Linked DNA regions of Elephas maximus indicus. The protein of the gene in region 2 purifies or fractionates together with the protein of the main gene of each other region. This does not show direct contact. Links are inferred from orthologs where the notes say so. Each region holds a gene or a part of one and is shown on either strand. Other genes may lie near its edges. The genes, in order: HIF1A, KAT2B, TAF5L and RARA.

Evidence for each region.
Region 1: the proteins of KAT2B (region 2) and HIF1A purify together in Homo sapiens (affinity purification with western blotting; 4 studies listed by BioGRID and IntAct, with this or other methods). This does not show direct contact. The link is inferred for Elephas maximus indicus from reciprocal best matches to the Homo sapiens genes KAT2B and HIF1A.
Region 3: the proteins of KAT2B (region 2) and TAF5L purify together in Homo sapiens (affinity purification with mass spectrometry; 5 studies listed by BioGRID and IntAct, with this or other methods). This does not show direct contact. The link is inferred for Elephas maximus indicus from reciprocal best matches to the Homo sapiens genes KAT2B and TAF5L.
Region 4: the proteins of KAT2B (region 2) and RARA purify together in Homo sapiens (affinity purification with western blotting; 3 studies listed by BioGRID). This does not show direct contact. The link is inferred for Elephas maximus indicus from reciprocal best matches to the Homo sapiens genes KAT2B and RARA.

Annotation. Positions count from the first base shown.
Region 1 is NC_064828.1:74,095,464-74,103,439, forward strand, and holds the start of HIF1A (hypoxia-inducible factor 1-alpha), read left to right. Parts: upstream 1-4,964; 5' UTR 4,965-5,013; coding exon 5,014-5,048; intron 5,049-7,976.
Region 2 is NC_064845.1:19,719,310-19,726,903, reverse strand, and holds the start of KAT2B (histone acetyltransferase KAT2B), read left to right. Parts: upstream 1-4,581; 5' UTR 4,582-4,669; coding exon 4,670-4,969; intron 4,970-7,594. Other genes in the region: uncharacterized protein LOC126068496, read right to left, coding at 3,942-4,472. UniProt on the Homo sapiens protein: Functions as a histone acetyltransferase (HAT) to promote transcriptional activation. Has significant histone acetyltransferase activity with core histones (H3 and H4), and also with nucleosome core particles.
Region 3 is NC_064821.1:210,299,848-210,307,856, reverse strand, and holds the start of TAF5L (TAF5-like RNA polymerase II p300/CBP-associated factor-associated factor 65 kDa subunit 5L), read left to right. Parts: upstream 1-5,005; 5' UTR 5,006-5,257; intron 5,258-5,616; 5' UTR 5,617-5,662; coding exon 5,663-5,665; exon of another isoform or gene 5,666-6,881; intron 6,882-8,009. UniProt on the Homo sapiens protein: Functions as a component of the PCAF complex. The PCAF complex is capable of efficiently acetylating histones in a nucleosomal context. The PCAF complex could be considered as the human version of the yeast SAGA complex.
Region 4 is NC_064837.1:47,497,838-47,505,495, forward strand, and holds the start of RARA (retinoic acid receptor alpha), read left to right. Parts: upstream 1-4,649; 5' UTR 4,650-4,828; coding exon 4,829-4,983; intron 4,984-5,186; exon of another isoform or gene 5,187-5,194; coding exon 5,195-5,370; intron 5,371-5,913; exon of another isoform or gene 5,914-6,474; coding exon of another isoform or gene 6,475-6,643; intron 6,644-7,658. UniProt on the Homo sapiens protein: Receptor for retinoic acid. Retinoic acid receptors bind as heterodimers to their target response elements in response to their ligands, all-trans or 9-cis retinoic acid, and regulate gene expression in various biological processes.

The DNA.
Region 1 (7,976 bases), on a different chromosome or scaffold from region 2:
CAAGGGCTTATTGTTCGACAGTGTTTTGGCAGAACTTCAGCAGGCTGTATATAAAACTTGAAGATGTGTCTCCTCTAGGGATATGTGATCAAATCTGAATTTTGGCCCCCAATAAAGAATAATTATATTAATTCATATCACAATCATAACGTGCTCAAAATCTAGTGGGTGAATTCTTAAAACTCCTACTATAGAATTCATGAATTTATAGTGTACTTTTCACTCTTTAATTTCATAAAAATCAAGTAAATCTAACCTGGTTTGAACTAAATTTTGAAATTGTTAGTCATTTATTTACAATGAACAGATGTAGTGTTCTGTTTGTGCAGCCGAAAAATGATGTGGGATATGCAAAATTAGAGTAGTCATCTACAAATAGTCAGGACAAGGAGAATAAAAATCATGTTTTTAACTGATTAGAAGAGTGGATATAGGTAGAAAGCAATTTTCTCTATTTGTAATTTCTTTGGTTGATAGCTTTCACAACAGATAAGGACATTGACATGTGGGGTTTACCCAAAGCAACGTCTGAAACTTTGTCTTTCTGAAGTTTCCAGCTGCTAAACTTCTCTTTTCTAACCTGCCTAGAGAAACCTAAATATATTTGCAATAAAATTGAAAAGATCCTTGCTCATAAATATTAATGTTAACATTAATTTTATTTTAAAATTAGTGCAGTTTTGCATTCTACTTCATTATACACCTGTTTATTTTATTATAAATTATCTTAAATATCAGATATATATGACCAGATAATTTTTTGCAAGAAACAAATTCGGTGCGTAAACAAAGCGTATACTATTCTATCATTTGTGCAAAAATGATAGGACACATAGGTCTTTTGGCATACTAATAAGATATCTCTGGTTAGATATATAAACAATTTGTAGCAGTGGGTACCTTCAAAGAGGAGGAAGAGGCAAGGGAGATCAGGGAGACTTAGTTTTCTGTATTTGTTCATTTGCAGTATTTGAGTTTTTTAACTACATCCTTAACATATCCACATATGGATAGCATAGCATTTCCATAACATAATATGTATGCTATAACATCCATAACCATGCACATATGTAGTTATGGCAAGATACAAAAACTTGACTTCAGAAGGGTATTCATTTTTTTTTATTGTACTAAAAATGTTGATCATAATTGAAATGTGCTAATGTTAAATTTTCAGTCGTCTATCATATTCTTCATAAACTGAGGCGAAATACATATTTATTTTGTTTTGATCCTTGAAACAAAAAATAAATAAATAAAAGATTTGCAATGCCTGCTATCTTCTAAGCGGATCCCTAGTGGCAGCACAGTGGTCAAGAGCTACAGCTGCTAACCAAAAGGTTGGCAGTTCGAAACCACCAGGCGCTCCTTGGAAACCCTATGGGGGCAGTTCTACTCTGTCCTTTAGGGTCACTGTGAGTCGGAATCGACTCGATGGCAACAGATTTTTTGGTTTTATCTTCTAAGCACTTTTCTTCCAAATTGTACCCTTTTTTGTTGTTGTTGCCAGAGAATACATAAAAGGGTGAGGGGGAACCCACCACCACCTAAGGGTAACAGTAAGCCAAGAATCACATTAGCCACTAAATCTTCTTATATAGTTTGATACACTTCAAATTACCTGAATCTGATGTTTCACTTTTCAAAAGACTAGATGTTCTATATTACTTAGTAGTAATATAAATTCCGGAGCCCCTGGGGGTGCACAAGGATAAGTACTCCACTGCTAACCGAAAGGTTGGTCCAGGTTTGAGTACACTCAGAGACGCCTCTAAAGAAAAGGCTGGGTGATCTACATTTGAAAAATCAGCCACTGAAAACACTACGGAGCACAGTTCTACTCTGACACACCTGGGGTTGCCATGAGTAGGAGTCACTCCACGACAACTGGTTAATATAAATTTCAAGTTTCACCTCGTTTGCTTCTCAATCTCTGCCCAACTTTCTACTAAATGCAGGTTAAATCATTTGCAAGTAACCTTGTAGTCACTTTAAAAGTTCTGCGAAGTGACTTGAAATGAACCTTGGACACTTAAAAAGATCAGAAAGTGATTAAACATACTTATAGTAATAACCTATACATTTATTAATAGGTGGCTGTAAAGGGAGTGATTTAAAATTTTATCCCACAGCAAATTTTGCTTTTTGGAATTCTGTTATTTAACAGGATTGATTGAATTAGGGATACAGTTAGGGTCCTCTGTAATTACATGAAAGCTAGTTGGTTGAATATTAATGTTTTCCATGTTCCTATATGTGTGTGTATGCTACTGCTTTCCATGTTCATGTTTGTATATACATACATACATAAACATTCACACATAAAATATAGTTTATACATTTTGGAAAGGAAAATTGAACTTTGGGGAATATGTTAAAATATCTTTTGGTGATTGAATGATGATCTTATTTAATCTTTTAAAATGATTAAAAAATTTTTAATGACTTAGATTTGCTCTTACAAAATACTCAACTTCTGATGTCACAGACATTATACACTACAGCTTTAATTGCTGGCCAGAGAGAACAGCTTATAAGAATAATGAGAAAGAAAACGACTGAAGATTTCTATAGCCATGGTCATATACAAGGATGGGAACACCATGGGCAGTTGCAGATTGGAAATAGAGAAGATATATGTGAATTTATATGAACCTAATTGACATGCTTGGATAGCAGAGGCACAAATTTGGGGGTAATAATAATGAAAACAAAACCAACAACAATACTAACAGCTAGCATTTATCAATTGCTTACTAAGTGCCAGGTACTGTTCTAAGTGCTTTACACCTATGTTCTCATTTAATCGTCCCATAATTCTATGGCACAGACCGAAAACTCATTGTCATCAGGTCGACTGCAACTCAGGTGATCCTATAGGACAAAGTAGAACTGCCCCATAGGGTTTCCAAGGAGTGGCTGGTGGATTCAAACTGCCGACCTTTTGGTCAGAAGCCGAATGCTTAACCGCTGTGCCACCAGGGCTCCATGGCACAGACACTTATCCCTATTTTACAGATGAGTAAACTGAGCAAGAAAGGTGAAATGACTCCCTAGTTAAGTCAGATATTCAAGCCCACTCTTAACACTGGAGCCAGTGTTCTTAACACTACTTTTGTGGAATATTAAACTAAAAGGTTTTATAACATCCAGAGTTAGTCGTTCCACAATTTAAAAAATGAATAATTATTTTCAGTCCTTTCCTCATTCCAGGCATTTTCCGTGGTTCTTTTCTAGAATACGTATCATTAGGCTTTGTAGATCTGAAAAACAAAAGTGATATTTGAGATCAATCTTTAACCTTATCTTTATGGCTCTAATTTAAAAAAATCTACTGACCAGTTAAAAACGGTTTAATGCTATCTTATATAGACCATTGTTTTTATGAACCAACATAATTGAAATCCGCCACAGATATCCACATTAATTAATATATAACCCAAAGCTAGACAGTAACAATATGCTGATATGACAAAGGTGAGAAGTAAAATCTAGTGTCAAGTGGAAATATGTATGTAATCCTTATTTGCTGAGTTCAAAATATATTCTTTTTTACCTTAAAAGACTGACAAAGTTAAACTTACGCTTTCAAAGTCAAAAACTGATTCTTAATCAGTGGCTGTCAAGATCACGTTAGTAATGAAGCAATACTGATCTCACCCTACGGAGTTAACTCGGGTTCCGTGGCCTCCCGCCCTAGGTGAGGGTTTGGCGAGTCCTTCTGTCTCTGTCTGTCTAGTCCACAGGGCAGTCAACTCAAGGCGGTAAGTCTCAATCTAAAGATTGTCTTCCACTTTTAATGAGGCAAGAAACCAGAACAAAAGTCTGTCTAAAACCTTTTTTCCGATTCCTTCCCTGAAGCTCAGATTTACGTCTCATTTATTAAGACTACTTACACCTATTTGTAAATGCTTTGAATAATTTCAGATGTTAAGATTTCTCGCAACGCTAACTCCTTCCCTTGAGAAGTTTACAATAAGAAGGATTTGTTTTAAATTTTTATTTGCATTTACTTAGTAATCAAACTCCACTGCAGAAACAGTGGAAGACGAGAGTTCCATTAGGTTCCAAGGCAGAGTGCGGTGACGTGGCCCGTGGTTGGGTAACCTGGCAAAGAAAGACCCCGTTGTAACATTTCTGAGCAAAAAAACCATGGGGCTTGCTGCCACGACGCCAAAAGTCTGCTTTTTTTGAACTGAAAACTCAGAAAAGCTGGGCGGCAACCCTGCCCAGCACTGCCCCAGGAGGGAAAGAGAGCGGGAGACTTAGATTACTGCATCTAGAGGCAGGAAATGTAATGCAGGGTTGGTACTCTGCAACCGAAATCCCTTTTCGGCACTGCCTCCCAAAGCCAGCCACTCCCCCATCTAGGAGTAGGCGCACAGTCCCCAGACTCGGGCTCAGCCTCCACCCAGGTCCTTTCTCTTTCCCCCGCAGCTGCACACAGACGAGCACGTGAGCTCTGGAGCCTGTCCCAGCTGTGCCCAGATGACCGCCGCCTGATTGGCTAAGAGCGACGTGGGCTGGGGTGGGGACTGGCCGCCTGCTCCGCTTGCCATTGGTTCGCGAGGAACCCGCCTCCCCCTCAGGTGAGGCGGGCCTGCAAGAGCGCGCGGCGGGCTCCGCGGGCGGGCGCGCTCCCGCCGCCCCGCCCCTCCCCGCGAGCCCGAGCGCGCCTCCGCCCTTGTCCGCCCCCTGCCGCTGCCCCTGCGCCTCAGAGCACAGAGCCGTCTGGTCTGAGGGAAGGCGAGGATCGCCCTCGCCGCCTGTTCGGCCAGTGCATTGGGCCCGGCCCCGACAAGCAACCCGCGGAGGGGCTCTTCCGAGCCAGCCTTGGACCTTCGCGGTTGCCGCCTCCTCCTCCCGCCTCTGGATTTGGGAGGGAATTCCCGCCTCGCAGCCCCCGCCTCTGGACCTGCCTCTTGTCTCTCCGCGTGTGGAGGGCGCCAGTGCTTAGGCCGGAGCGAGCCTGGGGGCCGCCGGCCGCGAAGGCATCGCGGGGACCCATTCGCCATGGAGGGCGCCGGCGGCGCGAACGACAAGAAAAAGTAAGCCCGTTCCCTCCGCCGGCCCCGTTCTCTACCGGCGCCCCCGCCCCGCGCTCGCGGGCGGGCCTCAGCTTTCCTGGGGGGCCGGCCTTTTTGTTTCTGCCTGTTCTCCCCCTCCCCTCTTTCCCCCACCTCGCCGGTCGGCTCCCCCGCTGTCCACGTCGCCATCTTGTCGTGGGGGGTGGAAGACACATCGAAAGTGCTTTCAGGGGCCGGGGTCTGAGCCCTGCCTGCGCGGCCTCCGTCCCTGTCGGCCGGGGCCTGCGGCGTCGCCTTCCTACCCGCCTCAGGCACCCCGCTGGCGTTCTGTCCCTGCTGGGACAGACTGTGCCCAGTCTGAAAACCCCGGGAAGAGAAATAAACCGCAGGTCGGTCGCCGCCGTTTGCACCCGGAGCTTCCGCTCCTTCCCGCCCCCCTCCTCTCGGCTTCCATTGAAAACTCGGCCCCGGGGCGGGCCCTGCACGCTGGTCCTGACTTCCCAGGGGGCTCGGGCCCGGGGCTTTCCGACGTAGGGGCTAGGGTAGGTGGAATGTGATCTTGCCCCGCACTAGTCCGGACGCCAGGGGTGTCTTTGCCTTTGTGCATTAGGGATTTGCCGCCACGGCCTTAAAATACTAACTTTTTAGTTTTGCACGTGCAGGTTTTGTTTTAATCGCCTGGAAAAACTTGCCTAGACGGAGAGTCGGAGCCACGGGAATTCAAAGAAATAACGTTTTAAAAAGGACACCAGGATTAAATACTGTGTTCCTATCACTTGTCACGAGAGCCCGACGTTCGAAATGAATATATGCCTCATTCATTCTTGAAAATATGGTAGTTGAAAATGTAGCGGCTAGTTAAATTTAGAGGAACAGTTTTATGGGGATTGAAAATAAAAATGTGACCAGAGCAAATGAAATGCAGCACTGAAATGTTGCGAATTTTTCCAAACCCTGCCTCATGGTCCTGAAATTGAAGTATATTAAAGGAGAACCTTCAAATACATCATAAGTAAATAATCATACTATTATAACTTACTGCAAGTTTATAAAACACCACTTGAAGTTTGAGTCCAAGGGGTACATTATAGAAGGATTAATTGCGACGGGGATGAACCAGCGGAATTAAAAGTGATCCCAGGCCCCTCCCCCCCAATTTGGTCCACTTTGGTATTGTAACCTTTGAGGAAATCATTTTAAGGAATTGAAGATTCAGAGTTTGTGGATAGTGGCCTGGATTTACGGTTAAGTCCTTCCAATGCTCTGGGAGAGATTAATTTTTCTAATCAGTATCAACGGAAGATAAACTTGTTTATATTCTTGTTATTTTGTCGATATCGTATCTTGGTCTTATTTAAATAGAAATGTTAGCCTTTCAATTTGCATATACCAGAGAAAGCACTCATAAAATTCAAGAAGTGGGCAAACAGAACAGGCCTAGACTTAATTCCAAGAATTGCCAGGAATTAATTGCAGTTAATTTTGCATAAGTGATTACCATGCTTTTGATGAAATGGTGAGGCTGCTACATTGTAAACCTAAGGCAGATTACCTCTGGGTAGTGCCAACTTTTTGTCCTTATTACACTTTGAATCCTACTTAATAAAATGTATTAAGTTATGCACCAGTCACTTCCTTTTTGTATGGTATATTATACTCATTTTTTTTTTGCAGTTGATCAGTTGAGAATATTATAAGCAACTTTAACATGAATTAGCTCCTGTGCATCACCTCCAATTTTAAAGGAACTCTTAGATTTTCCTCTTTCCCATCTGTCATTTAAAATTAAAAAATATATATCATTTTGAGCCTTAGATTGGTTAATCAATCAGATTTAACAACCTTGGATCAGATTGATTCATATTTCTCTATATAAACAAAAAACGCATTGGCCATCTCATAGCGACCCTATACAAGAGTAGAACTGCCCCATAGGGTTCTTAATGTAATTGAAAAATTAAGTTGAACATTTAAGTGGTAGCAACTGAGCAACTTTTGTTGTTATTGTTATTAGTTGAAGTCGAGTCAATTCTGATTCATGGTGTACAACTGCTCCAGGGTTTTCAAGGCTGTGACCTTTCAGAAGCAGATCTAAGCCAGACCTGCCTGTCTTCCAGTACACCTCTGGGTGTGTTCAGACCTCCAACCTGTGAGCTGATAACCCATTGCTGTGAAGTTGATTCCGACTAATGGCGACCCTATACGAGAGTAGGACTGCCCCATAGGGTTTCCAAGACTGTAAATCTTTATGGGAGCCACATCTTCCATGGAGCAGCTGGTGGATTCGAACTGCTGAGCTTTCAGTTAGCAGCCAAGCACTTAACCATTGTACCACCAGGGCTCTTTTTTGGGCTAGTAGTTGAATGCTTAATGGTTTGGCCACCCAGGGATTCCTTTTAAACCAAAAAAAAAAAAAAAAAAAAAAAACCCATTGCCATGGAGTCAATTCCAACCCTATAGGACAGTAGAACTGCCCCATAGGATTTCCAAAGAGCAGCTGGTGGATTTGAACTGCCAAACTTTTAACCACTGCACCACCGGGGGTCTTTTGAGATGTTGGTAAAAGATGCCTTTTTTAATTCTTTTCTAACTAACAATTTTAGAACTTAAAGATAATTGAGGGATTGAGGGCCAGGAATTTCCCATATATGTATTGGGAGTGAGATAAGGGGAATAGTCTAGGATTCCATGCGATTTTTCCATTTTAAATGAGTATCCAGAGTTGGAGTGGGGAAATTTATCTTTTTTAAAGCAGTATTGGTTTAGGGAGGAAAAAAAATTTGAAGGATTGGAAGAAATCAGAACAGAGTGGATATGGTTATAATAGGTTTAACATAGGTCATTTTATGTTGATTCCTTAGTTCAGGAACTGCACTTAAAACACATGCATATAGGATTTTAGATTTCAAAGGAATGTGAAGAGATTCATTGTTCTGTCAGACTTCCTCA
Region 2 (7,594 bases):
AAGCAGACTAGCGAATTGAAGTCAGCCAGACACAGGGTTGGAAGAACAGAAAGGTTTATTCACAGTTTGCAAACTGGGAGACAGGCAGGGTCTCATGACCTAAGGATGCCAGCACTCTGGACCAGGGCAGATTTGCTCCTTTATAGGGAGTGACTTACATATGCATGAACAGTGAGGGGACGATCTTCAGTCCTTTGAGGTGTGCAGCCCCCATAATTTTAGGGAATGGGTTTTTGCCCACTGCTCTAAAAATACTGGGCAGAGCCCTGAAAAAATGGCATCGGCTTGCTCCTGCCACCCCCGGGAAGGTCATGTAGTGGGTAGATTCGGAGTCTGTGCTCCTGTGCTTTGGCCTCCTGCCAGGAGAAGACAAGAAACCTGTGGATTTGACCGATCATGGCGAAGTGCTGTAAAAGTTGTAACAAAAACATAGCAAGATTAGACTTTTCTGAAAAACTATGATGGGATGCTTAATAACCTTTTCATGACTGCCTGCTTTAGTTTGAAGGGTCAACCTTTAGATTAATGTTGTTGTTGCTAGGTGCCATTGAGTGGGTTCCAACTCATAGTGACCCTACATACAATAGAAGGAAACACTACGCAGTCCTGAGCCATTCTCACAATCAGGGCTATGCTTAAGCCCACTGTTGCAACCACTGTATCAATCCATCTCATTGAGGGTCTTCCTCTTCTTTGCTAACCCTGTGCTTTACTAAGCATGATGTCCTTCTCCAGGGATTGATCCCTCCTGATAACAGGTCCAAAGTGTGGGCGTCCTTGCTTCTAAGGAGCATTCTGGTCCTGCTTCTTGCAAGACAGATTTATTTAGCTTAATAGTTGAGTGCAAACCATTTGTGCCACTCAGCAACATTTAAATTCATACAATGGAATAGTATTCAGCTATAAAAACAGCTGAAATCCTGATTCATGCTACAACACGGATGAACCCTGAAAACATGGTAAGTGAAAAAAAAAAAAAAAAACTAGTCACAGAGGACCACGTACTGTGACTCCATTCATATGAAATGTCCAGAAGAGACAAATTTATAGAGACAGAAATTAGATTCATGGCTGCCAGGGACTGGAGGGAGGACAGGCTGAGAGTTTTCTTTTTGGGGTGGCGAAAATATTCTAAAATTGATTGTGATGATGGTTGTACAATTTAGTGAACATACTAAAGCTCACTGATGTGTACAATTTAATAGGGTGGACTTTATGGGATGTTAATTACATTTCAATAAAGCTGTCGTATTTGAAAAAAATTTGGAAAAAAATCTGAAATTAACATGTTGCCAATAAGGCTCAAGTTCTGGATCCCCTCTTGTTTTACCTTCCTTGCTCTGCTCTCCCCCATATCATGAAACTACGCTGAAGAGTTTGCCATGCATCCTTCTAGATCTTTCTCTTGCTTTTACATTTTTATTTGCATTGATTGAACATTCACAGAATTGCATTTATATGTCAATGTGAGTTTGTTTTTAACATAAATAGTATTACACTGTACCAGGGTTCATTCAACAGTGTTTCTTGGAGAGCTGTTATTGAATTGATACAATATAAAGGCTACTCTATTATAACAGCTGCATAATATTCTGTAATATAAATATACCACAAGTAACCTTTAGTGGTCAGCCCGCCCCCTATAATTCTCACTCCCTGTGCCTTTGTTTTTTTCTTTTTTGTGGCATCCTTACCTCAGTGAGTTGCAAATGTTTTTAAAATGAAACATCGTCTTTTATTTTCTTGGTATCTACAGGGTAACAGAGTGCTGTGCACACAGGAAAGCTTAAAGCTTACTAAATGCTCTTAATAGCCTGATTGTTGTTAGGTGCCGTGGAGTCAGTTCCGACTCATAGCGACCCTATTAGCCTGATTAGGAAGAGGCAATAAGGCTCTTGCATCCTTTGCCTTTGAAATTTCCCTGCCTGGTGCTCATAACACATTTTGAATATGCCTTAAAATGGTGGGCCTTCAGCCTAAGGCAGTGTGTCATCTGGATGCTCTGAGCAGGAAAATAATGAAAAATCATATTCAGTTGATGTCACAAGCCATTCACCATTCAGACAGTGATGGTTTTCAGAGTGGTTTGAAATGAGGCTGGTTACTTCTGCTTCAAAACATTCTGGGAATAGCCTGCTTCCTGAATTCTGGGAGTAGCTTAGGAGTAGTTGTGAGAGGTAAGTTAATATTAAAGGTAGATTTTTCTCCCAACATTTTATTATAAAGATTTTCAAACGTACAGATTAGTTGGAAGAATTATCCAGTGAACACCCACCACCTAGATTCTACCATTAACATTTTGCCCTACTTGCTTTATCACACATCTGTTCATCCACTCCTGTGCCCATTGATGGATGCATCAATTCATCTTATTTTCTGATGCATTTCAAAATAAGTTGTAGATGTCGGTACACTGCACCCCTAAACTTTCAGCATGCATATCATTAACTGGAGTTCAGTATTTGTTTATGATTCAGAAAATTTTTTTGAAATTCACTTTACATCAAATTAAGTGCACAGATCTCAAGTAGACCATTCCAGGAGTTTGACAGTGTCTACAATGTAACCCAAACCAACCAAAAAAAATCACACCTATTGCCATTGGTTCCAACTTATAGTGACCCTAGAAGACAGAGTAGAGCTGCCCCACAGGGTTTCCAAGGGGCGACTGACGGATTCAAACTGCCCACCTTTTGGTTAGCAAGCCAAGCTCTTAAACCGCTGTACCACCAGGGCTCTAACCCAAATCACTACGTGATATTGCTCGAGGATTTTTAAGAGATTTGCTAACATTCTGATGCTCGAAAAGTCTGATTAGAGGATCACGACTTTTAAGACTCCCATCCTGCTTTGGCAAGAATGACCAAAAAAAAAAAGAAAAGAAAAGAAAAAAAAATTGCAAAACACTTCAGCAGAGCCAAGTGAAGCACCTTAAGCCAAGAAAGGAAGCACTGAACTAACTGTCCTGATGGAAACTGATGAGTCTTTCAGACCTTCAGAGTGGACTCAAATTAGGAGTGGAAATTTCCTTTTGCCCTTTCTAACATCACTGTTTCAACGTACAAAGTTATTTTTTTTTTCAATTTTTACATACCCCTCTGCATGAAAAGCCAAAAGAACAAAGAAAATCTGGGAAAAAGGATAGAAAAAAATTCAAGGGGGGACAGAGGGAGGGGGAGGAAGGAGGGGAAGGAATATGTTTGTTTCCCGGGGACAAACACGGTGGCTTAAGGCGTGTCTGGCCTCCTGTGGGGGTGGGTGGGAGCTAGAAGGCATCCGAAGAATCCGATAAGCATATTATGACCCATTTTACATATGATAACACTCGCCCTGCAAAATTAGGGCACTTCTGAAGGATACTGAGAAACAGCAGTGGGCCTTTAAAAAGTCTTCGAAAGGCCGACCTGGCACGAATTTCAAATGCAAAACTGAAATGTGGAGTGAACATTCCAAAACACCACCCTCCAGGCCAGCAACAGCATGAGTTGAAAACTCACAGTTCAGCTAAAAAAAAAAAGTTTGAGGCCAAAATCTACACTTCTCCTTTGGACGCTGCTTAAACAATTTTTTTTTTCCGGTTCATATGCATGCTGGTGGCATCAAAGTTAAAAACTAAGGAAAATTATAAAAAAGAAAATGGCAATGATGATGAACCCTAACATTTTTCCAACTTTTCCGGCTTAGCACAGTTTTATTTTGACAGTGCTTTTAGGCAATCGTTCTTCTAACTATCAGCACTTTCAAAAAAAAAAAAAAAAAAACCTACCGAACGTATTGATTAACAGTCTATAACAGTCTATTCCCTCTTGTGGCAGATTTGGTCCAGAAGTTGCTATAGGAAGAAAGCGTTTTAATTAAAAAAAAAAAAAAGTTTGACAGAAATGTATTTTAAAAGAAAACACCAAGTCTTTTATTTTGGTGAATTAGCAACAAAGAAAGGATTAGCATGGACGGGTACTTTTCAAAAATATTTTTTTTCCTCGGGCTCCCGCTAGGGTGGAGGAAGTTGTCTCGCTCCGAGGGAGGGTGGGACGGAGTGGCAGGACAAACGACTGGAGTCCCCCGCCCCTGCCCCAGGCTCGGGAGCGCGAGGGTCGGCGGAGGGGCCGCCGGGCAAGGCGGGGGGAGGCGGCCAGCAGGTGCCTGGGCTCCAGCCCCCTACCCCCACCCTCCACTCCACCCTCACCCCCCAGCCCGAGCTTGGCCTCGCCCCCTGCCGGGTGAGCGCTAGGTGCCGAGGCCTGGGGGCAGGGGGCGCAGACCCCGCGGGGAGCGGAAAGAGGCCCAGGGCGCCCCGACCCCAGCACCCCCGTCGGTGGCCGCGAGGACATGTCCGCGGCCCCCGAGCGGAGCCCAGCCCCGGGGAGCGAAGCCGGGCCAGGGCGTGTGTAGCGGCGGCGGCAGTGGCGGCGGCGGCAGCCGGGCCGCGAGTCCCCTCCCTCCTGGGGCGCAGCTGCCGCCGCCGCCACCATCAGCGCGCGGGCCGCGGCCGGAGCGAGCGGGGCGCGCGGCGCGCGGGGGAGGGCGGGGGCGGGGAGGGGGGTGGGCGAAGGGGCGGGAGGGCGTGGGGGGAGGGTCTCGCGCTCCCGGCGACCAGACCCGAGAGGGAGACCCTGGCGGCGGCGGCGGCGCCTGACACTCGGCGCCTCTTGCCGTGCTCCGGGCCGGCATGTCCGAAGCTGGCGGGGCCGGGCCGGGCGGCGGCGGGGCAGGAGCCGGGGCGGGGGCCGGGCCCGGGGCGCTACCCCCGCAGCCCCCCGCGCCGCCGCCCGCGCCCCCGCAGGGCTCCCCGTGCGCCGCCGCCGGGGGCTCGGGCGCCTGCGGACCGGCGACGGCAGTGGCGGCGGCGGGCACGGCCGAAGGACCGGGAGGCGGCGGCTCGGCCCGGATCGCCGTGAAGAAGGCGCAGCTGCGCTCCGCTCCGCGGGCCAAGAAACTGGAGAAACTCGGAGTGTACTCCGCTTGCAAGGTACCGGCTCGCCGCTCCCAGCCCGCGGGTGGGGGCGAGGGGCCCAGCTCCGGGGGACCCCTGCCCCCTCTCCCTCCGCCCCCGCCCCGCCCCGCCTCCCGCCTCCCGCCTCCCGCCTGGGGCCTCTGCACCGCGGAAGTGCTGCTGCCGCCCGCGCCCAGTTAGCTCCTTCTTGGATAAGAGTCCTGTTGGGTTGGGAGAAGGGGGATCCCCAAGATCGAAAGCCCTTTCTTCATTTCTCCCTCTCGGACCGAGTAACCTTAGCTTCCGAGCTCCCGGGCTGCCCTGGGGCTTTGTCGCTGTGTAGGAGCTCGCCAGAGGCGCCTACCGGAGAGTGCAATGGTGCTCACGGTGTGGCGGGGCGCCCCAGGGCCAGGGAAGCATCTTGGGGACTGAGCAACCCCCTGTGAGCCTGGCCTTGCCCCTTGCCCCATTGGGAGGGGATGGGTGCAAGGAGTGAGGGTGGAAAAGGCTCCCGAACTCCAGGCACCTGGGGAGCGAAGGGACGGAACGCGCGGGATGGGAAGGTGGGCACAGCCCAAGGAGAGGGTCCTGGAGCGCCTGGGGGGGGGGAGGCTCTGCGGCACGCGGTGACAGCACTGTCATTATTGTATTATTACTTGTTTAGTTAAAATGCTGTCCCAGCTGCTCGGGGTGTAAACAGGATTTGGCGAGGTGACAGCCCAGCGCAGCGGGCGCTGCTGCTCAGTTTGAGGACACACGTTTCAAGCCATCCCCTTCTCCGTCCCAGCTTTCGGCGCCCCATGGCCCCCCAGCTGTAGACCCAGATGTAGGGGCTGCACTCCTGGGGAGGGACGATTGCCCGAGGCCGCGGGGCAAGCTGGCCCTGCGCTGTCAGCAGCGGCTTTGTTTTGACAGGGTGACAGCTGAGGGGGGCGGGGACTTGGCCTTGTCAGCTCCTGCGGCCTGTGGCTGAGGCGGGGAAGACACACTCACAGGCACTCACCACCTCCCGTGTATTCCTCCCGCCTGCTGCAAACAGGGTCAAGTTTCCAGGGTTCCAGATTGCCACTACCGCGCTACAATGGTCACTTCTGAATTTTGGTGTAACGGTTATTCATCCAGCTAGAATATCTTGACCCTCCTGGTGATGCTTTTTTAGTATTTACACGAAATGTCTGTGTTTGCTCTCATCCCAGCCATTACCATCCTCATATATATATTGAGCACCTACTGTGTACCCTACACTGATTCAATAAATATTTGCTGAGTGAATGTAGGAACCAGTACAGTGCTTCCCAGACTTTAATGTGCATGGTAATCACCAGTATTAAAATGCTGATTCTGAATTACTAGGTCTGAGGTGGGGCCTGAGACTCTGCATTTGTAACAAATTTCCAGGCGATGCAATGCTGGTTCAATTCCAAGGTAGCAAGATCTAGTTCAGACCTGGATAATATGGTATTAGTCCCTTTTGAATTCAGCCAAGAAAACTGGAACTGTAGAGTGATAATGTCATGTGGTTGGTATTTCTGAAGAAGGAATGCAAAAAAAGATAAAAAAAAAAAAAAAACGAAAGGCAAAGCTAGGAGTTTGGTTATGAAGGGCATTAGACAGGATAGTGAGAACAGGACCTTGAGTGTAGTTGGCAGATGAGAGAGCTATACGCAAAATCAAGAACAAGTTCAATTATGCAGTGGGGTTGGAGTTTTGCAGGTGGGGTTGGTTCAGGTAGTTCAGGTAGCGACTGCGTCAGCTGGGTGTTTCTGTCCTGGTGTTTTATTGGGTTCCCATCGTAAACACGTTTTCTCTCTGCTCCCTGGCTGTTGCCTTAATATCTGATGACTTCCTAAAGTTTTGGTTCTGTGTAAAACCAGGAACCTATGTGCCCTGCACTGGTATTTTTGATCCTTCCAAATTTCCATGAGTGAGATGTAGTACCTTTTCTAAAGTTTGTGACTTGAGCTTCATGTTTCCATTTACTACCAAACTTACAGGAAGGAAAAAACCTCTCATATCTCCTTTAGAGACTTACCTTCCTGCTCTTGGGAGACTCTGCAAGCATCAAATTTTATTTACTTATTCATTCAGTAAATAATATAGAGGGGTCCCATATGGGTGCCAAGTACTGTGCTGGGGCTGAGACACCCAGAATCTATCATGGTGTTGCTGGACAGCGTGCAGATGAGTGTGCATCTCTTGTCTTCAGGACTTGGGGAGTTGGAGAGTGAAGCAGTTACAATAAAGTTTGGAAAAACTACTTTCTCAGAGTGGTGTGGGAACCAGAGCAGGGCAGTTCACTGGGTACCAGGGGAAGGGTGGGGATGGCTTCCTGGAGGAAGTGTCAGTGGGTGCTATAAGAACTCTTGCTATAGCGCAGAGAGGTGGGGTGAAACTTCTTGAGAAGGAGAAACTGAAAGCTGTGCTGAAAGCTTGGAGCCAGGCCAGCAGGAGCCAGGCCTCCACTGGCCAGGTGATCAGGTTGGGGGGTGTGGCCAGGAGGGCACTGGGGCATCTGGGAATCTTAACCTGGAGAGTGACATTATCAGATTTTCTTTTTGTTTTAAAGGGGCTTGGTTGAGTGTGAGGTGGTGCCAGAGAGCAGAATCCATGTTTTTTTCTGTTTGTCTCTATATTTCATGTAAAAAGCCCCGAAGGACAGAT
Region 3 (8,009 bases), on a different chromosome or scaffold from region 2:
ACGGACTGGGAAAAAATCTTCGGCAATGCATATCTGATATGGGACTGATCTTTAAAATACATAGAAAACTTAACAACAAAAAGACAAACAATCCAAGGACATAACAAACACTTCACCAAAGAGGACATTCAGGGGGCCTATAAATACCTGAAAAAATGCTCATGATCATTAGCCATTAAAAAAAAACCTGTTGCCATCCAGTTGATTTCAACTTATAACGACCCCACAGGACAGAGTAAAACTGCCCCATAGGGCAAAACTACGAGATATTACCTCAGACCCACAAAGATGGCAATGATAGGAAAAAAAAAAAAGCAGAAAACAAATGCTGGCAAGGTCGTGGGGAGATTGGAAGTCTTACACATTGCTGGTGGGATTATAAAATGGTACCACCACTATGAAAAACAGTATGGCACTCCCTCAGAAAGCTAAAAATAGAAATACCTTACGATCCAGCAATCCAACTCCCAGGTATATATCCAAGAGATGTAAGAGCAGTGGCACGAATAGACACATGCACACCTACGTTCACTGCTGCATTATTCACAATAGCAAAAAGAAGCAAAACAACCTAAGTGCCCAACAACAGATAAATGGATAAATTATGGTACATACACACACTGGAATACTATGCAACTACAAAGAATAACGAGGAGTCCACCAAACATCAGATAACATGGAGGAACCTGGAGGACATTATACTGATTGAAGTAAGTCAATCACAAAAGGACAAATACTATACGGTCCCACTATTATAAAAAGTCAAGAACAGACATACACACAGAAAGCAACACTTTGATGGTTACCAGGAATGGGAGGGTGAGAAGGGGGAAATCACTTTCTGGATAGTAGATACTTGTTATTTTTGGTGAAGGGAAAGGCAATACCAAATATGGGTAAAGTCAGCACAACTTGACCAAGGTAAATAAAAACACTGAGAAATACAAAAGAAAAAGGGACAATTTTGGTGAATGCTATAACACACATAATTTTGGAACAACAGTAACAAGAACCAAAATACGTGGTTACGTAGGTAGATATGTATGCACACGTGTGTAAGAAGGCATGGGTGAGTAAATGCATGTGCACGTATAGGTGTATCTGTGTTGTTGTTGTTGTTAGGTGCCGTCGAGTCGATTCCAACTCATAGCAACCCTATGCACAACAGAACGAAACACTGCCCGGTCCTAAATCATCCTTATAATTGCTGTTATGCTTGGAGAAGGACATCATGCTTGGCAGAGTACAGAGTCAGCGGAAAAGAGGAAGACCCTCAACGAGGTGGACTGACACAGTGGCTGCAACAAGCTGTTATCTATAGGCATGTGTACATACATGTTTGTGTGTGCTGCAGATAGATCCATAACAAAGCACATATGGGCACATTTATGGAGGCTTCCCAGATATATCCAAACAACTCATGGGATCAGTTTACTGGGGTAAAGGGCATGGGATCATAGTCTCAGGGACAACTTAGTCAACTGGCATAACTTAGTTCATAAAGATAATGTTCTACATCCCGGTTGAATAAGTAGCGTCTGAGGGCTTAAAAGCTTGCAAGCAGCCATCTAAGATACAACTATTAGTCTCTACTCCTGTGGAGCAAAAGAGAATGAAGAAAATCAAAAGCTCAAAGAAGAAACTAGTCCACAGGACTAACAGCCCACAGAAATCATGGCCTCTTCTAACCTGACACCAGAAGCAGATGGTGCCCGGCTACCACTACCGACTGTTCTGACCAGGGACACGATAGAAGGTCCCAGATAGAATTGGAGAAAGATGTAGAACGAAATTCAAACTCCTAAAAAAGTCATCACCCAAAAATACCCTTTGAACTTGGAACTGAAGCTACTTCTGGAGGTCACCTTTCTGCCAAATAGTAGATTGGCTTTTAAAATAAACAATATCAACCGTGAGCAACGCGCTCCCTTAAACAATCAGGAAAGGTGTGCGTCAGGGTTGTATCCTTTCACCATACCTATTCAATCTGTATGTTGAGCAAATAATCCAAGAAGCTGGACTATGTGAAGAAGAACGGGACATCAGGATTGGAGGAAGACGCATTAACAACCTGCGTTATGCAGATGACACAACCTTGCTTGCTGAAAGTGAAGAGGACTTGAAGCACTTACTAATAAACATCAAAGACCACAGCCTTCAGTATGGATTACACCTCAACATAAAAAAAACAAAAATCCTCACAACTGGACCCATAAGCAACATCATGATAAATGCAGAAAACATTGAAGTTGTCAAGGATTTCATTTTACTTGGTCCACGATCAAAACCCATGGAAGCAGTGGTCAGGAAACCAAAGACGCACTGTACTGGGCAAATCTGAGGCAAAAGACCTCTTTAAAGTGTTAAAAAGCAAAGATGTCACCTTGAAGACTAAGGTGGGCCTGACCCAACCCGTGATGTTTTCAATAGCCTTATATGCACGTGAAAGCTGGACGATGAACAAGGAAGACCAAAGAAGAACTGACACCTCTGAATTATGATGTTATCGAAGAATATTGAATATACCTTGGCCTGCCAAAAGAACGAACAAACCTGTCTTGAAAGAAGTGCAACCAGAATGCTCCTCAGATGCGAGGACTGTGCATATAGTCAGAAGTAATCAGTCCCTGGAGAAGGACATCATGCTTGGTAAAGTAGAGGGTCAGCGAAAAAGAGGAAGACTTTCAACGAGATGGACTGACACAGTGGCTGCAACAATGGTCTCAAGCATAACACCGATTGTGAGGATAGTGCAGGACTGGCAGTGTTTCGTTCTGCTGTACACGGGGTCGCTGTGACATGGAAACGCCCTGATGGCACCTAAGAACAACATAGGGGACCAAACAGTCAGCATTTACCCTAAAGCAAAGATGAAAAGGTAAGGAGGGAAAGGGAAGCTAGATCAATGGAAAGAGAACAAACACAATTGAAATAATGAGAATACTGATATATTGTTAAAATTGTATCATGGAATAATTTGTACAAAAATTGTTAAATGGGAACCTAATTTGCTGTGTGTAAATTTAACCTAATACACTCACATACAAAACCCCAATGGAAAAAGCGCTGTATATGATCAAACTCAACAAGCACCAGAAAATGAATAGTGTATACCTTATTGTCTACATAACATTTACCCAAAAAACCAGACTGCCATCAAGTCCATTCCAACTCATAGCGACCCTATAGGACAGAGTAGAACCGCCCCATGGGGTTTTCAAGGAGTGGCAGGTGGATTTGAAGTGCTGACCTTTTGGTTAGCAGCTGTACCACTTAATGACTGTGCCACTAGGGCTCCAACATAACATATTTAACGAACTAAAGCACATTGACAAAACTTCTGAAAATAGATCTACACATAAGATGCCTGAACCCAAAAATTTTCTGGTGGAAATTCAAACAAAAGCAAGCAACATATGGATCACACACATGTATAAATATTCCTGCTGTCCTCAAACTCAAGAGTTTCCCCAGAAATGAGTGTTCAAGAATTCAGCTGGGGAAAACATTTTGTTTCAATTACTTGTGGAAAGAGGTTTGTCAAACATGGTTTTAAATTTAAAAAAAAAATTTAAGCTTTTGCACAAATTTTCTAAAATACACTATGCACTATGTATTAGTACCAAACCCCAACCCAGTGCCGTCGAGTCGATTCTGACTCATAGTAACCCCACAGGACAGGGTAGAACTGCCCCATAGAGTTTCCATAGAGCGCCTGGTGGATCTGAGCTGCCGACCCTTAGGTTAGCAGCCGTAGTACTTAATCACTACGCCACCAGCCTTGGGTATGTACCAGCTCCATTAAACAGGTCAAAGAAATAAAGAAGCTACAATTGGGAGAAGGTAATATTTCCCCAAGTGAAAAAGAAACATATTAACCCAATCCCAATAGAAATATCATGATTTTAGTTGCATCAGTAATTTCCCACCACAAATTTATTCATTTATGTATAAACTTAAAAGCACTGATACACACTGCTTCCTAAAAGACTGCAAAAAGCATATAATTAAAAGCTGTAAAAATAGAATGCAATAAATTCATGGAAAAAAGCAAACATGCCAACCACCTACAATTATAAAACTGACATAAACTTGGCTTCTAGTTCCCTGACAGTTAAAAAAGGAACCATACCAGGTTAAATCATTTCCCTTATATAAAAGTAAACAAGCCTGTTCAAGAGAGAAAATTTTTCATGATACCCCGTAAAATCATCACAAATAAAAACAAAGTAGAACACAAATACCAAAAAAGATTGCAGCCCTATGATTCTAATCTAAGTTCTGTCAAAGCAAAAGCATTTGGCTGGATCTAGTCAGCGTTTTTCAAATCCAAGGGTTCCGAAGCCTTCGAGACCTTCAGAAGGTATTCTCAGTAAGCGCGTGGCGAAGGAGCGAACCCTGAGGAACATTTAAGGTCCGCACAGCACCCGTCAATCGGTTCACTGCCGAGAACAGGTGCAGTCACGTCCTGTCAGTTTCTCTGTGATGTCAAAACGCTCAACACCAACTGAACAACTATCTCCTAAACTTCTAAGCGCACCACGTTCGCCTGCCATCGCGCCGGCTCCAGGGGCCTAACGAGCGTTTGCTGCACTGGCTAAGGACGCCCGGGGCGCACTCCAGGGCCCCCAACGCCCGACCCGCTCTGGTGGGCTCGGCTCGTCTTGGCAGGGCGGCGGAGAGCAGTCCAGCTCCGGCAGCGACCCGGTTAGCACCAGGCGCTAGGACACGGCCCCAGCGAAACGGCAGGAGCCCCAGGGAGTCGCCGCAAGCAGGAGAAGGGCGAGCTGCAGCGAGTCCCGCCGGCCGCGCTCAGCACTGCGGCCCGGGGGTCGGCGCTCACCTGGCCGCCCGCTCCGGGCCCGGCTCCGCGGCTCCGCCGGCAGCACCACGTGGGAGACCCGGCCCCGAGCTTCTTCCGCCCCGACGCCGGCGGGGGCGGCGCGGGGGCGGGACGTCGGGCACGCCAGGCATCGCCAGCCGAGCGCCGAGGCGCCTCGCCCATTGGCGGAGACGGTTGCGCGTTGAGGGCCAAGCGGCCCAGCCCCGCGGGCCCGCTCCGTGTCAGTCAGTCATGGAGCGGCCGCCCGGAGCCGCCGCGCTGGCGGCGCGGAGCGGGGAGCGGGGGCCCGGCTGAGCCGGCGGTCGGAGCGAGGACCTGTCGCAGAGACAACGGAGGCGGAAGCGGCCCGATCCCGGAGGCGGCGGCGGCGGCGGCGGCGGCGGCGGGAGGAGCCGGAGCCGCCTGGGATGTTCAGTGAGTGCGGGGCGCGCGGGCGGGCGGGCGCGACGCGGAGGGCGCGCGGGCGGGCGGTGTCCCGGGCCGGAGCCGCGAGGCCTAGGCGGGGCGCGCCGCCTGCCGTCGGCCGCGTGGGGGCGGGGAGGCGCGGAGCCCCGGAGCCTGCTCCCCGCGCGCCGCGCTGGGCCCGGCCGCCGCCGCCGCCTGCGTTCCGCGGAGGCGCTTGCTGCTCTCGCCCGGGGCTGGTCCTGCGGGTGGCTCCGGGGCCGGGGAGCTGATGGGAGGGAGGCAGCTACGGGGAAGGGGTCGGAGCTGGACGGCCGAGCGCGCCGCGCCGCGCACCAGAGCCCAGAGCCGCGTTTCTTCTTCTTTTAAAGGAAAAACGAAGTGTCCTTTGGACAAACTCAGGATGAAACTTAGCACATGGTAACTGCGCGTGGATGGATGTGAGACCCATCTCCTGCGTGCGACACAGTAGATCTCGAGTCGGACTAGTTGCTGGAGGATACTGACCTGCAAGGCTGCCTTCTAGGTTTTTTAACGAATGACAGCTGCTTAACATTTGTACGTTTAGGGGATAGTCTTACTTTACCACCTTTTACTCGCAAATCTCCAGGGCTTTTCAAAATATGATCAGATAAGACGGTCTGAAATGAGTTGATGGTTAGAAATCGTGGTGTCATTTTAGACTTAGCGGAAGTGGAGTACAGGCACGCTTTATGCAATTCTATCAGTTGTGAAAGTGTTGTTATAATGTGGATCTCACAACTTGTATTGTTTTGGGATCAGAAAGTAAGTCTGCCAGTTCCGTTTAGCGTTCATCTTAAATTACCTCAACTCTGACCTTGCAGATTCAAATCTCTCAGTGGTAACTCCCGCTAAGAAACAGTTGGGCGCTGTGTTGAGAAGACAGTGAGGGCGGAGTTTGCCTCCTGTTAGGTGATACAAGTGAGTACTTGATGGGGAGGAGGGCGATACGAGGTGGCTCCACAGCCTTGGTCACAGCCCTGCTGAAAGTGGAGTAGGAAGGGAAATTTAACTTATGTTTATGGGGTAAGTGCATCGGGCCATATCTTTAAACTGTGGGAAGGTTCATGAGTGGATAGAACTTGGTAACCAAGTAGACCTAGGGTTGAAACTATGTATCCATCTGTGTAACCTCTCTGGGCCTTAATTTACTCATCTGCAAAAAGGAGTAATGCCTGATAATTTACAAGTGGACTTTAAAAAAAGAGAAACAAAGAAATATGTGCCCCTGAAACTACTGCCATGAGATAGTCTTTAAACCTTAAACCAAAAATATCCCCAGAAGTCATCTTAAAACCGAACAGCTTAACTAGTAAAAAAGGCCTGCCTTGAGCAGTGCGCGCTTTAGAGAATTAATCTGTGTGGGATCAAACCGACAACAGATAGGAACCTTAGGGGGCATGTGAGTTTGTGATAATGAGGGAGGAACGACTCAGAAAAGGAGGGTGAGAATGGTTGCACAATTCGAAGAACGTAATCAGTGTCACTAAATTGTCCATGTAGAAACTGTTGAATTCGTGTATCTTTTGCTGCGTATGTTCTCAACACCAACAACAAAATAAATAAAATCTAGGGGAAAAAAGACTGCGAAAATACCTGACATTTGAAAGACTCTGTAAGTATCAGCTATTATAATTTCCTTCTGCAAAATGCCTTCTGGGTTCTTTGTAGGCTGAAGTTTTTTGTGTTAAGTGGGCTGCATACTAGCTTTGGTTTTCTTTATGAATTATAAATCCTCCCTGCCTTGAAAATCAGTGTTAACTAGAAAAGCAAAAGGTGGGCTTGCCTTGAGTGTTTTTCCTTTTCATCAACGATTAGTGTCTCTTGGAATAGTTTTGTTGTTCCTGTCTCTAAATGTAGGGTTTGTGTGTGTTTCTGTGATTCTGAAACTAGGTAAAGGACTCACTTCACTGCTCAGTAACTTTGTTGTTGTTGTTGCAAATGGTATGCTAGGACCTATAAAGAACATCTTTGGGGGCAGGGAGGGGTTTTGGTTTTTGTTCATTTGTTTTAGCTGGAAAGGCCAAGGGGATAGTCTGCCTAACTAGCATGACTTACTGGACTGTACCAGATTCAAGCGTCCAGCCTCTCTTCCATGTGCTGCACTGATTGTTCTCTCAACAAGCATCTGTTAAGCTGCTGCTGTTGTGCTCCCCCAAGAAGCCCTTGGTCTACAGTAGGATCCTTTAAATAGCAGGATTCTGTAAAGGGTAGGAGCTCAAACCCTGCAGCCAAATGGCCTGAGTTCCAGCACTGCATAACCTTGGACAAATTTTCTCACTCCTTAGGCCTTCTCATTTGAAAAATAGTACGTACCTCATAGGGCTGTTGTAAGGATTAAAGGAGAGAATCTGTGTAAAGCACCTAAATGGTGTCTTCCTCGTGGTATGCCTCAGTGAATGTTAGGTATTAGTCGTGGTGGTAGTATAAGAAACAGGCCTAGTATGATGAGTGCTGTGAGAAAGGTTTGTTCCTGGGTGCAGTGGGTGGAAGGGCCTGTGATCAAGAAAGCCCAGCTGAGCTGTGAAGCATGAGTAGAATTCAGCCAAGCCAGGTTTGAGTGCCAATGTAGGGGGGACTCTGATTAATGGAGGGATATTACCAAAGCCCCCGAGGTGAGGACGTGGGTTGGGACCAGCTGGTAGAGTGAGGAAAGCCAAGAATTTGGTCTAGATAGGTAAGCAAAGGCCACATTAGTGTAACTTCAAAAATGACAGTGGAGGTTGAATTTTTTTCATTCTTA
Region 4 (7,658 bases), on a different chromosome or scaffold from region 2:
AGTAGTATGCTCTGGTCCTCAACAAACTTTTTGTAGGGAACCTCACTGACGAGGCTTCTTTATCCTACTCCCCACCAAACAAAGGCGCTGAGGTGGTTCCTCCTTCATCTCACCTTCTTTCCCCCAGTGGGGAGGGGGCTGGGCCTTTGGTGTTCTGGGTATACCCTTCAGAGACCCAGTGGCCTGTGGGATAACAGAAGTCCTCTCCAGGTCACTGTGGGGAGGGGTGGGTGTTTGTCCTGCTACCAGTCTCCCAGGGAGCTAGAGCAGGAGGCCCCAGAGATGCTGCAGGACTGCCCCCCAAACCAGCCCCTAGCTGGGACCTAGTCTCGAGGACTGGCAATTACTGTGGAGGTTTGAGATTCTGTGTGCATTGTGGGAAGGGTCAGGGTTCTGTGTGCTTTGGGAGAGGGTGTCAGGATTATGTGTACTTTAGGGGTGAGGGGTCAAGGTTGGGTGTGTGTTGGGAAAGGGGTTAATGGGCTTGTGTGTATTGGGTGGAGAGGGTCAGAGAGTTGAGCATGTTTTGGAAGAATCAAGTCAAGCACCAGGGAGGGGATCTCAGCTTGTTGGTGTGTTGGGGTTGGGGTGGGGTAGCTTAGGGCATAGAGTATGAAGGGGAGTGGTATGTGGATTGCTATATGTGTGTTTGAGGAGGGAGGGTCTCTATTTCCTTTTTTTTTTTTAATAATTTTTATTGTGCTTTAAGTGAAAGTTTACAAATCAAGTCAGTCTGTCACATATAAGCTTATATACACCTTACTACGTACTCCCATTTACTCTCCCCCTAATGAGTCGCTCTTGTAGGCTGGAAAGGAAAACTGCCCTGCCTTGTTTGTTGCTTGCCCTCAGAATTCAGGGGCAAAGGGGTCTGACTGGGGGCTTGGAGTACGCAGTGTGGCTTAGTGGTTAAGAGCTTAGATATTGGTGCCGGTTCTGGGTTCGAGTTCTGGCGTTGCTGCTTGCTATGTGTTGGTAACCTTTCTTAGCATGTTTCCTTGTCAGCCTAACAAGAATATTACGAGAACTTCCCTTAGAGGATGAGAATTAGGCAAGAACATAGACGTAATGACCTTAGCTGCAGCCTTGTGTGTGATGGTGGGGGTGCAGCGCCTACCACGTGGTAGTGAAAAGGAATTCAGGCCCTTTCTAGGTGGGAACTGGAGAGAAGGAATACCTACATCTGTGGGGCACCTACTGTGTGCTGAGGACTTTGTATATGTTGTACAAATCTTAATCCTTACAGTCCTGGGAGTGGGGCTTGGTTCCCATTTACACATGAGGAAACCGGGGCTGGCAGAGGCTAAGTGAGGGCAGAGCTGGGTCTGTGGGGTTGATAGCTGCAGGAGGGGCTTGTGGGGGCACTCCTGTGTGTGGAGAGCCTTGGGGGGTCAGTGCCATTGTTGACACCCCTGCCCCATGGCAGAGACCCTGCTTCTTCAGTCTGACCCCTGTCTTCCCCAGTAGGGGGCACAGGGAAGGACCCAGGCCACACTCCCTCTTCTCTGTTTTGGATGCTGAGGCTGGAGGGAAAGGGAGACTAGAGGCCAGGAAGATCCGCATCCTATCCTGGAAGCTGCAGATACAGTCTGTTAGCAGCCGTCCCCAGCCCGGAGTCTGCCCGCTGTAGCCTGTGGAGTCTGCAGAGCTCAGTGGGTACCCTCCTTCCAGACAGACACAGAAGGAACAGAATGGAAAAGCCACAGTTGTTATTCTTATTTTGTTTCAATTTGGGGAGTAGGGGCAGGGAAGTTGGAAGCACTCAATAGAGGAGCCAGGTGATGAGAGCCCCAAAAGAGTGGATCAAGACTTTTCTGTCCACATACTTGCTCTGTGTGCCTAGGACTGGGGGATGGCCACAGGATCTCTGGGTGTGCCCCTTCTCCTTGTCCCCCTTCTCTGCCACTTCCTCCCCTTTGCAGTCAGGGAAGGCATCCTGGAGGAAGGTGGCTGGGGCCTTTCCCAAGCCAGCTGCCTGTGCATCCTCCCTCCCTCTCCCTACTCTTTCCCTGGACAATAGGAGGGACAGCCCAGGGGGAGGGGGTATTGCCTAGCAAAGGCTTTCATAGGGTCCAAAATGCAGAATCAGCCAAAAGACTATGATCTGGGGCTTTGAATGAAAATGGGGCCCCTCACCTTTTATCTCCCAGCATTGATAATGCAGCGGCCCCCTCATGGGCAGGATCCCAGAAAGGGCTGGGGGAGGGGACAAAGGAAAGGAAGCCTGTCGCCCTCTCCACCCCATACCAATTGACATATGCTCCTGAGGCTACTCCCATGCAGGGCCTGACTGCCCTTTGGGGGTAACATCTGAGGAAGGAGGAAGTACTTCTCTTCTCCAAATCATTTTGGGGTGGCTCAGACTGCTTCCCTCCTCCAGCTCCCTCCTCTTCCCCCTCCTAGGAACGTGGGCACAGTACTGGCTAGGTCAAAAATAGAGGCCCTTCCCACTTCATTTTGATTTCTGGGTTGCTGGAAACCCCAGCTAGCCCATAGACCACAGCTCCCTTGGGCAGAAGTCTTAAAGGACACCTCTTCCTGCTCGGCCTTCAGCAGGTCGCCCTACCTCTTTCTGAGTCTGTTTCCTCCTCTTTAGATCCCTTCCTGGCTGGGCCAGTTGCTGTGAGGCCACTGTGACCCACTTGCTGGCCAGCGCTTGCTGGCGAGGGCTTGGATGAGCTGCAAGTATCTTGCAAGGGCAGTGATGATGGGGTGGAGCTAGGCATTGTCCTGGGAGATAGTCACCCTGTACTGGGACCCAATGTCTGCCTGGCACCGGGCCTCATGACTTCCTGTTTGTTGGGCCTCCAGATAGGGTTGGGGACAGGAGGGAACCCTGCCTGGCATAAGGTGGCCAGTTCAGCTCAGCCCACATGTGCTGAGGGCCTAATAAACGCAAAGCCCTGGAGGGGGGTGCGGCTGAAACAGGCCCCAGAACTGCCTTTTTCCCTCCTCTCCCACTGCCCTAGGACATGGCGTTCTGCTCTGACCCACTGCACGACCTTGCTCTTGCCCAGAACAGCCATCTCACCCCACACCCCCAGGTTCTCCTCCTGTCCTGCTCTGGAAATACTCTCCATCCTTTAAGGAACATCTTGCATGCTGCCTCTTCCCAGAAACCTTTGCAAATGTTTCCCCCTTTTTTTGCCACACTGTCTCCCCCTTCCTTGCATGCCTATGGGTCCTTATTTTTTCTCAAATAACACTCATTTACCACCTAGTTACACTACCCCGTCTTGTTCCTACTGTGAATTGCTATCACTTGGGAGGCCTGTCCCTGATCATAAGTTCTTTGATGGCAGGGACAGGGTCTTGGGTCCCTTAGTGCCTTGTAGCTCTGAACACAGAGCCTGGTGCATAACTGGTACCCAGGAGCTATATCATTTGGGAGGAAAGATACCAGGGTCTGTGATTCCTTGGCAATCTCATATACTCCCAATGCTTGCATACTTGCTCCAGGCCCCAGCCTTCCAGACCTCATATCTGAGTCCCACACCCACCTGTCCCAATAGCCCAGTGGACTTCTCTCTTTTGCGGTCTCAGGAGGAACTTTGCTGTTGCATAAGCCATACACCAGAACGTCCTCTCTGCTACCTCCTTTCCCATCCCCACATTGATTCTACCTTTAAAGGATCTCGTGACCCCACCTTCCTCTGTTCATCACCACTGCTAATTTCCTAGCCCAGGCCACCATTTTCTGTTGCCTGACCTGTTGCAGTAGCTTCTAACTTGTCTGTTGCCCTCCTACAATCCATTCTTTCCACAGCTGCTAGGAATATCTTTTGGGGCTATTAATCTGATCTTGCCTCTCCCCTCCTTGGAACCTTTCTGTGGCTTCCCATTGCGTTTAAGATAAAATCCAAAAGCCTTATTGGGGCCTTACAAGCCCACCTGTTCTTGTATCCCTTTTTCTCTTGAATTCTCTGCTCCAGCCACCCTGGTCATTTGTCAGTCCCTTGAATTAACTCACCAACTTCTGTAACCCCAGCACCTTTGCACACACTCTTACTGAGACGGTACTCTGTCCTACTCTGCCTGGTTCACTTCTACTCCTTCTTTAGGTTTCTGCTTTATTTTGAGGTCTTCCCTGATCCTTCAACCTAAATTAGGTACCTCCATTAATTTTCCTTTAAAGCACACTATGCTTATGTCATAATAGCACTTGTCTCAGTTTGCATTTATATATATGTGTGTGCATATATGTATATATGTCCTGGTGGTGTAGTGGTTAAGAGCTGTGGCTGCTAACCAAAAGGTCGGCAGTTCACATCCACCAGGCGCTCCTTGGAAACCCTATGGGGCACTTCTACTCTGTCCTTTAGGGACAGTATGAGTTGGAATCGACTCAATGGCAATGGGTTTGGTGTGTTTTAGATATATATATATATGTATACATGTATGTATATATAATTTGTGATTATTTGCTTAATGTCTGTTGCTCTGTAAGGTATACAAGGTCAGGGACTGTTTTGCTCACCAGGGTATCCGCATAGGAGGTGCTCAGAAAATAGTTTTTCTTGAGATACAATCCAGTTGGCCTGGCATGGTGGGAACATGGGCTTTGGCAGCAGAAAGTTCAGATATTCATTGTGCTCTTCATTGGTAGTGTGACCTGGGAACACCCACCCGTAGCTTTGCGGAGATCTCAGTTTATTTGTCAAATAGGAGTAATGCCCATTTATGTCTTGGAGTTCCTGTAAGGATTAAATGACAACATACATGAAGAACCTGGCTACTAGAAGAACATCCTTGGGAAGCATGTAATTTCCCATTCCTTTCTTTTTCAGAGGGAGGGAGCTTGGCGACAGGGTAAGAGGTGGGTAATGGGATGCCCCCTCCTCTAGGGTCATTCCCTCCTTCTAGGGAGCTACCTAACCTTGGTTTTTATTCAAATGAAATAGGCAACCTTGGGCTTCTGGGAGAAAGTGGTCAGCTGGAAGGCACCAACCCCCTCCTTTTCTCTCTCCAAGGCTGGACTGTGAGGTGGGGGCCCCCATCCTGGTTCCTGGGCTGGGAGACACTCTAGGCGGAGGAAGCATGCAGAGCAGAGCTTAGGGAGGAGAGCCCCCTCTATGTGTGTGTGTGCCAACAGCACCCGCCCGCGCTGCCTTGTAGGGTTCTGGCGGGCGGGAAGCCGGAGTCACACATGATGTCACAGACAATGACACAAGCCGGGTGTCTCATTCCGACACAGCGCCCCGGCTACGCAGTGTCACACCCCGGACACCCGACATGCCTCGTTCCTGGCGCTAACACTCGGTCGCTCACACCGCAGCCCTTACCCTCCCGTGTCCTCTCTCCCAGTGTATGGAGGAGCCGGCCAGGCCCGGCTGGGCAGGAGACCGGCCGGCCAGCCCCGGGGCAAGGCTGGTGAGCCGGTGGTGAGCGGGTGTTGTCACGGGCGGCGGTGGGTGGGTCATCCGGAGGTGAGGCACCGCCAGGCGAGTTCAGCCGTATTATATTAGGCAAATGAGACCCAGGCTAGGTGGGGGTGTGTGTTAGGAGGCGGACACCGAGACACCACCGCCTCCTCCTGCTCCCCCCTGGTTTGGCAGGGTATTGACCAAACCATCTGGGAGACCGGGAGGCAGAACGGGGGTGGGTGAAGACCCCCTCCCACGTCTGTCCTTGCCTCGGCCCCGCAGCCCACTCCTCTCCTGGTACCCTGCCTTCATCTGTACTCTGCTTACTCCTCCTCTTGTGCCTTTCTCCCCTTCCTCCCCCTCTTTTCTCCTCCCCTTCCCAGGCTCCCAATCCTCTCCTGTCCACATCCCGCCTCTCCCTGTCGTTCCCTGGTTCCCAGCGTGTTGCCCTCTGCAGCCAGACCCGCTAGGGAAGGGTTAAGCCAGGGGCGGTGCCTGAACCGGGCGGGGTGGAGGGGAGGGGGTGGGGCCTGAAGAGGAGGGGGTTCGCTGTGCTGGGGGTAGGGGGCACGGCGGGCACTGCTGGGGACCCAGCGAGGTGCCTGCTGCTACCCCGGGCCTCGGTGGAGGCGGAGCCGCGTGGGTCCCCACCCCCACCCGGAATCCTCACCCGGAGAAGCCCGGGAGCCCCGGCTGGGAGGAGGAAGTGCTCGGTGACCCCCTCCCGCCGCCCTGCGCCAATCCCACCCCCTGCCTGCGGACTTGGGGAGCGGGTGGACTCTGCTTCGGACACGAGGAGACTGAGACGGGAGCCCCTCGAGGTGAAGCCGCTGAGTTCCCGGGCCTCCGCCAGGCATTCCCTGGGAGAGCCGAGGGACACCCTCCCCCCAGCACGCACAACTTCCACGCTTTTCACCTGGGACTGGTGGAACTGCCAGCGGACTTAGACTCGGGGACTTAAGGGCAGGGGGCGGCTCCCTGCCTGGGCCACCAGTAGAGGTGGGGGGACGTGTCCCTCGCCCCCAGCGGCTTTCCACGGATGGCGCCCACGGCTGAGTGAGAGGGCGGTGCAGGACTTCCCCGCCCGGACCTCTTGTCTTCGCGGGGGAAGATGTACGAGAGTGTGGAAGTGGGGGGGCTCACCCCTTCCGCTAACCCCTTCCTAGTGGTGGATTTTTATAACCAGAACCGGGCCTGTTTGCTCCCGGAGAAAGGGCTTCCCGCCCCGGGCCCCTACTCCACCCCGCTCCGGACTCCGCTTTGGAATGGCTCAAACCACTGTACGTACCGGCCTCCCCTCTCTCATTGTAGGAGCTGCTGATGGGATGGGTGGCGGGGCCTTCACTCCTACCCAGGGATGCGAGCCTGGGGCACGTTGGTGGCTTGTTCCGACCCTTGACTTTCTCCTTAGTCCCGTTTGCTCAAACTCAGATGTCCTTGCTGGACAATTGGTGCGCCAGCCACCAACCATTGGGTGCTGTTTCTGTTTTGTTAGGTCTGAAGAACTTTGGGGGTTCTTTCTTTCAGGAGACATTCGTTCCTCTCTCCTCCCACTTCTTTCAGGGAAAATGAAGCCCCTTTCCCCCAGTTTATATTTTCTTGCTTAGAATCCAGTGCTTTGAAGCTGAGTGGTCCTTTCTCCCACCCTAGAGGGAGGGGTGAAGGTCCTGTCTGTGGGCTTGCCTGCTCTGAGGAGGAGGGGCCTCCTTCCCAGATTCTGCTCCTACCAAGGTCTGAGGGAGAGCCCCCTCCTGTGCAGCAGCTGCTGCCCCCAGCCCCTGCTCTTTGGACAGTAGAGTGTCAGGGGAGTGCTGCTGGCAGTGGGGTGTGACAGAAAGGGGAACCTGATCAGACACCCGGCTGCCATCCTAACCAGTCCTTACACCTTGGGAAGGGGCACCTGATCCATCTAGGGATTGTCCTGGCCCTAGACACTTGGTTGTCATCTTTGAGACTCCTGTCCCAGGAGTGGTGAGAAGCTGCTCTGGTGGGGAGAACCCCCCTCCCCCTAGTCTGGTTTGTTCTCTGGGGAGAAGTTCCGTTTTATGGGTCTGGGGCTACTCTGGAATTGAGGAATGCATCTATTCTCAACCCTGCTGTTTCCATTTGTTACCCTCTCTACAGTCAGGGATAGGGCCAGTCACTGGACTGTTACTTCCTAAGAGGGATGCTGCTAAGGACTCCTGGTGGCCTGGTCACCTTGCTCACCTGCTGCCTTATCTGGGTTCATGCTCCTCTGGAAGGGAAGGACTCTGAGCATCATCACAGGTGCTCTCAGGGCTGGGGTTACACACC